2 linked regions of the Neodiprion lecontei genome follow. The protein of the gene in region 1 purifies or fractionates together with the protein of each later gene. This does not show direct contact. Links are inferred from orthologs where the notes say so. Each region holds a gene or a part of one and is shown in the gene's direction. Other genes may lie near its edges.

Evidence for each region. The genes of interacting proteins can lie anywhere in the genome.
Region 2: the proteins of tetratricopeptide repeat protein 9C-like (region 1) and ankyrin repeat domain-containing protein 49 purify together in Homo sapiens (affinity purification with mass spectrometry; 4 studies listed by BioGRID and IntAct, counting the BioPlex papers as one, with this or other methods). This does not show direct contact. The link is inferred for Neodiprion lecontei from reciprocal best matches to the Homo sapiens genes FKBPL and ANKRD49.

Annotation. Positions count from the first base shown.
Region 1 is NC_060263.1:660,297-664,056, reverse strand, and holds tetratricopeptide repeat protein 9C-like, read left to right. Parts: upstream 1-1,106; 5' UTR 1,107-1,426; coding exon 1,427-2,284; 3' UTR 2,285-3,205; downstream 3,206-3,760. Other genes in the region: retinol dehydrogenase 13-like, read right to left, coding at 26-130, 194-474, 561-670. UniProt on the Homo sapiens protein: May be involved in response to X-ray. Regulates p21 protein stability by binding to Hsp90 and p21.
Region 2 is NC_060262.1:37,937,866-37,941,196, forward strand, and holds ankyrin repeat domain-containing protein 49, read left to right. Parts: upstream 1-1,365; 5' UTR 1,366-1,773; coding exon 1,774-1,930; intron 1,931-2,081; coding exon 2,082-2,242; intron 2,243-2,341; coding exon 2,342-2,677; 3' UTR 2,678-2,809; downstream 2,810-3,331. Other genes in the region: ADP-ribosylation factor-like protein 6, read right to left, coding at 317-494; lysosomal-trafficking regulator, read right to left, coding at 3,020-3,221, 3,300-3,331. UniProt on the Homo sapiens protein: Induces HBG1 expression. May have a role in spermatogenesis where it promotes autophagy in response to serum starvation, via the NF-kappaB pathway.

The DNA of each region.
Region 1 (3,760 bases):
AGCTATTAGCATACGGCACAATTACCAAGATAGTTGGTGACAAAATGCATTTCAAAACCTTCCTCAGTTTTTTCATACGGATGAAAAGCGATTCCCGCATTATTGATCAATATATCGAGTTGGTCTAGTTCTAAAACAGGAGGTAGATCAATGTAACACCAGATTTACGAAGTCTTTGTTTCTCGCATCATACCCAGATCTTCGGCAAAGGCACGAACACTCTTCAGCGAAGACAAGTCCACGACTCTAACGTCTGCCTTTCCATTAGGCATGGCTCGTATTTCTTCGGCTACGTTATTTCCAGCTTCTTCATCTTTGACAGCCAAAACTACGTGTCCTCCTCTCCTTGCCAGTTCCAAAGCTGTTTCTCTACCGATACCGCTCGAAGCCCCGGTTATCACAACCGTTTTCCCATCAATTCTTTCCTCGCTGGGACAGTCCGGTCCTCCCATGTAAGCCCTAAAACTCCACCCGCTTATGTACCCAATCCCACGCGTTATATCGAAGGCATGCAATGGTCCGAGTCACAAATAATCCTCAAGCAACACGTCAGGATTTACCTTATCATTGTTAAAATTCCCAATACGATGCCGACAACGTACGGCCAGTACGAGTCCAGTAGAGGACTAAACTCTTGTAGAACATGCTGAAATTCTGCAAACTGACTCATGGCGATTTTACAAAGGTATGACAAAATTTATGCCACGATAAGCTGTCAAACTGTAGCTCAAAGTTTGAAACTAAACGGCATCGACTATCGGTAGCAGGCTTGAGTTTGGGAGAAACAGCGACCGGTCTCAGCTGGTGAACTGTATTAAAATAAATTTACAGGGGGAAATGCAACGAATTGATCTAGATTGATGATAATAATTTCAAGGGGGCCGGATGTGAGAGTTAACAATGCATAGCAGCAGCCGTTACCTAGGAAGCACTTTCAGTTGCGACCAACCAAACTCTCAAATTTTATTCATTGTTTTGTTACATCGATCAATGACAGATATTCGCATAACAAGGAGAAACGTAATTCTTTAATTTTTCCGTAAAATTCCGTGAAATGATCATTTCTCAGTTATCGCTTGTTCATTCATTCCATCAAACCGGATCTGCACGTGCATCGCATGAACAATGCACGCACATCAGTTGACAATTTGACATCTACAATCGCAGGCGGCTGTCATCGGCGCCGGATTCTGGCCGTTTATCGAGCGTGCTTCTCGATTTGAAAGAATTTCGCATTATCCGTAGGTGAATAATAATCCCCTGTATACGAGTATCTTATTGTAACAGTGAAGAATTGAGTAATTCGTTAGCTTTTGTACGACAAAGAATTGCTTTTAGGTTAAGAAAACGGTGAGATAATTTTCTCGCTTTTCAAGAATCGCGTGAATAATATTGAGAAAGTCTGTTGAAGAAGTGAGATACAGTCATGACGGTAGTTTGGGAGTCGGTGGGCAGTAGCGTTGAGAAAGATATTTTGGTGCCTGGAAAATTTTCAAAGAAGCCTACGGAACGTTCCAGATGCCGTGTTAGAATCGAAGACGTAAACTCATCAGGGTTGTCCGATAACCCCGAAACTCAACACAGCGATTACATTAAGCCATCGTCAACAGAAGAACTGACAATAACTGTCGGGGATGCCGATTGTAGGGTAGACGAATATGTCGAGAGGGCGATTCAAACGATGTTCACTGGGGAGCAGAGTTTGGTAAGAGTGAAATTAGACGACACTGTTTGCCTATCGCTTAAGATAAAGTTGTTAGCCTGTGAGGTACACGTACCGATTTGGGAATGGTCGGCAAAAGAGAAGTACGATGTGGCGTTGTATTACAAAGAAGCAGGGGTGCGCCTTTATAAGTCCTCGAGAATCGTTGATGCTTTTTCGAAATTTAGCAAAGCTTGCAAGATCCTTATCAGTTTGGAGCCAATCCCCGAAAGCGATATAGAAGATTCGCTCAGAAATGACATAGAACATCTTAGGAGGATCTTGTACAACAACATGGCGGAATGTCACTTGACGCGGAAAAACTTCGAGCATACAGTTTCCCTTTGCTACAAGGTGCTCCAGAGGGACGAGAACAACGTCAAAGCACTCTACAGACTAGCTGTAGCCCGGGAAAACCAAGGGGATTACGAACGAGCCTTGGCAGACATGGAAAAAGTCATCGGATTACAGCCAAAAAATCAAGCTGCAAAAGAAAGACTGATTATTTATAGGAGAAAAGTTTACGAAGCTCAGAAGAAGTATGACAATATGGTGAAGAAAATGTTTCACGTACGCGAATGAGCGACATCGTCGCTAGATTGTATGTTACTTGTGTATAAAGGAAAAAAACAATCTATTACATAACTGATTTGTAATTATAGTATAATAATCAGTACTTTTTTCATTTATATAAACAATTTATTTTATTCAACCACGGTTACCCCCTGATGATTTCTGTTAACAAAGCTTCGGTACATAATCCGTAAGGCTCCTCCTTTATTAAATCACATCTGTTATAATTACAAAAATACGCATTTATTTCTACTATAATAACAAACAATTGGAACGTAACTTAATTCGCATCAATATTTTACTCCTGATTAGACATACGAATATTTTTAAAATCACTAATCATCCCCCTTTTGAGAGATAATTTTATTCAATCGCTGTAGTAAAATATTGCAAGAGCTTCAAAGTTAGGAAAATCACGACACATTCGTTCGCAAAATAAGACATTCGAGTTATAGCAGTCGTATGTAAATCAAGAGTAAGGGACAAGAGTTCGACTCTTCACAGAGGAAAATATTTTCTTGAGATATCTCGTGTCCGGACTTTTATTGCTATGATTTAAGTAGAGATTATTTAATTTATTCTTGTAGGAAATTAATGCAATGACTCAAGATTGAATCATACTTCCTTCGAGCCGTGGATGTTCAATATATATTTTCAATTTAAATAATGGCACCTTGCTTAAGGACTTGCTTATCGATTACTTACACGTTCGGACAAATGAGTCTTCTCTACATTTTTGTAAATAAACCTTAAGGTACTACTTAAATTTTGTAACGCGCTACAAGTTCACCTTCAGTTAAGTAATCGAGCAAGTCATCGTTACTGTGGCCAATGGCTTAGAAATTTCAAATACGGAGTTACAAAACAATAACAACTTCCCTTTAATAAATTAACACAGTACCAAAGAAACTATTAAAATCACATGAGTAATATATTTAAGAAAAAAAATGTATGCGCCATCACCGTTTAAAAAAGTTTATTCTTTATCATTTTTACTATTGTTTGATAAAAATCCTCTCAACGGTTTACTTTATTCGGTTAGCACTTGTTATTGAGCTTTTGTTCTATTGACTAAGAATTATTTTCTAATAAAAACCTTGTGTACCCGAAGCTGTTAAAAACAGCATTCGTCGTACAAAGGTGTTTCCTCGTTTAAATAAAGAATACCAAGGAATTCTTTAAAAACTCATGCAAGAATGGAGAACTAAAAAATACTGATTACACGTGTTGAGTAAATAATCGATACAAATATTTGCATGTACGTACGTACGTACATAATTAAAAATGAAAAAAAAATCAAAAAACCGTAACAATGTACGAACAAGTAATCAAAATCAATGCTAAAATAGCGTCACAAGGCATTGTATGTAAAATACATGGCAAGACATTCACCAGCAAAAAAGTATGCTACATTATTTTGGAACAGAGTATACATGTGTATATAAATATATAAATAGAGAGAGAGAGAGAGAGAGACAGTCTAAT
Region 2 (3,331 bases), on another chromosome or scaffold:
CGGTTATACCTCTTCCAAATGATTTCGTGATAAACGGAATTAGTATACTTAATATTTCTTTGAACTTCAACAATCAACTGGATTTTTAAATTATGTGCAACTTTATAATTGTACCTACAAATTGTGCGCGCTTTATAAACGTATATTAATAAGTAATGATAAATGCATCAGGGATCTTGATTACATTATTGCTCGAACTATAATAACACGCAAGTGCAGTGAGATCGAAGTCTATATAGTGATGGTAACCGTCATTAAAAAAAAAAGCTTCTATGGTGACATCGAGTGACTTGACTTATCTCTACATGTAACTTACATGCGAACTTTTCAACATTGAACCCGACAGTAGGGACAATATCGATACACCGCTCTTCCTCGCGTTTGAAATGATTTATTACCGTCGACTTACCACTGTTATTAAGTCCAACAACTAATACGTTCACTTCTTTTTTCCTTAGGCCGAAAATATTGGCCAACCGATCAAACAACCCCATTTTCCAAGTCCCTTTCCTTTACAAGCTTACGTGTCTATCGAATATCAATAATCAAAGTAGCGCCATAGCACGTCACAACCCTAGCGCTACGTCAAGACATGTGATTAGATTCTGAACTATAATGAGAAAAGAGATATTTTCTCGACTATAAAAAAACTTGTTAGGTTTATTTGTCAATAATAGTAGTTATCCTCGGTTTGTTTCTACATATTCTGAACCATTCAAAATACACGCATGGATGATGCGAATTTCCAGCACAGTGTACTCGAATGATTAATCAAAAATGGTTCTGCTTCTAATTCAATCCTGGGGGAGTTTCGCCGGCTTCGTGCATTCCCCTGATACGTTGACTAAAGATATCGATACAAAAGGTTTCCTTAGAGTTGGTATTTTTGATTTTCGCGGGATTTTTAGCGTTTCGCTTTGTATAAACCACGTATAAACAATCGACGATCGACAGTCTATGATAAGTACGGGATCTTCTGTACCGATAGGACCGAGAAACTGGTCAGCCACAGACGCGGGACAATTCAAAAGAGTATAAGGATGATGCAAGATAAAGAGTCAAGCTTCACAATTGAATAGTGACTTTGATGTATTTTACAAGTGATAACGGAAGTGTAGAAAATGAACTTTGTGAGTGATAAACTGAACTATGCAAACTGATCTTTACAAATACTTAAGAGAGAAGTTCTTTCTCTGTTCAAGCCAGAAATACGAGTGCCTGTTCTTTTTCTAAATCTCCTCCGACGAGGCACAGGTGCATGAGCGGAATTCACGAATTATATCCACCCAATCAAAAAGGTTCCTTTCCATTAAAAATCCTGTTACTGTACGCCCTCAACTGGTTCCTACTTCGCTCCCATTTTGGGGGTAACGAAGTGAGACCCGCGTATAACTCCGCAACTCGGGATAGTTCGGCGTCCAAAAAAGATTTGTGCACATGTGCGTGAGAAGAAGAAGGGTTTTCAAACAAAGGGCAAGCTCTTCGGATGTTTTTCCCTAAATTTCACAACTTTATAACAAAAACCCTACGCACATGTGCAAGCCGTAAAAATTAAATTCTGTTCAAAGCGTTTTCCTTACAATATTTATGCTTTTCGTGCCTTGAAGAGACTTTCTTCTGGCTTATTTCTATCTCGGGTGCCCATGTATCTTTTATTTTTCCGAACTGTTAATACTACTTCTAATCTCGATGCTGTTTCAAATATTCCCCCCAGTATTTCATCCATTATATTAAAACAGAATCGTCTGCCAACTGTATTTTGCGAAACTTTTAATGGTTGTAAAAATGTCATCCGAAGAAGAGGACGACCAGATTACGGATTTGGAGGCAATTCGCGACAAAATTTTGAGTCAGCCACGCAGTGAGCGAATGCAAGTAAGTGCCTGGGAAGATGACGATGACGGTATTGAAGAGGACCGAAACGCGAGAGGTTAGAAAATGTACTGTTCTCTAAGGATAAATTTTTTTTTGCCATAAACAAATTTACAATTTTTTATGGTAAATTCGATTTAAACTGGAAAAAAATATCCGCATAAATTACCCTCATGAAAGCTCGAAACATCTAAAATCCTGTTGCACAGAACCAGACAGTAAAGCCATCCTAGAAGCAGCTGAAAAAGGTGATTTAGAAATGATCAGACAGCTGGTTATCAGAGATCCTAGTTTAATCCATGCCACAGACCATGATGGTTATACTCCTCTTCACAGAGCCTGCTACGGAAATCACGTAGATGTTGTCGAGGTTTGTAGAAAGAACTGATAAACATCAATCAAAGGTTCTTTAAATATACAGTTCGACAAAATGTTGTCACTTTTACATTTACATTTTACTTTTCAATAGTACTTGCTTGAAACTGGAGCAAAAATTGATGCTAAGACCAATGATGGCTGGGAGCCGCTGCATTCCGCGTGTTGTTGGAATCATGTTGATTGCGCAGCTGTGCTGATAGCTAATGGAGCTGATATAAATGCTAAATCAAAAGGAGATCAAACGCCTCTTCATTTGGCAAGTGCAAGTTCTCACAATTCTCCAGCACTGCAGCTGCTACTTCTGCATTACAATACTAATCCACATTTAGTGAATTCCAGTGGCGATAATGCGGAGCAGATCGCAAGACGTACTGGAAAATATTATCCTTTATTTGAAATGATAGAACCTTGTCTCAATAATATTTGAGATCAATTTAGATTCTATAAGTTTGTTCTTTGGAGATATTGCGACAGCAAAATTTTTACAAAACATTGGAAGTGTATTTTGACATGTTACAAAAATTTTATTAAAAAAATCTAATAAATGTATAACCATGTATGTTGCTTCTCAAATTACATAGCAGACCAGTTCGACAAAAATCTTTCTGTCATACATATATTCCATTCACACTTCACAACTAAAACTGGGATACAGTGACTATAGACCTAAACAGATAATATCAGTATTTACACTCGGGGATTATTATAGCATCATAAAAAAAATATTTTATTCATTCTCTAAGCACGCTAGAACTAACTTGAAAGGAACCTAAAGTGAGGATAAGTTCACGAATTTTGGTGTTCCATTACTCAGGCGGCGTATGCCTTCCCAAATTAAAACTGTAGAATCTTCAGCTGCTGCATATAAATGGTGCTGATCCAAAGCCCATGCTAATGCGATTATAGCACCGTATCCTGTACCACTATTTACAATTTCTCTGACTAATCGTAGGTCCCAGCTGCTCCACAGTCTAAAGAAATAACGAGTCATGTGTTGGATTTACTATTGTTGATAGAATTCCTGGAATATTAGTTGAGAATAGGCCTACCGTATTACTCCGTTATCTAAACCTGTTGCAAT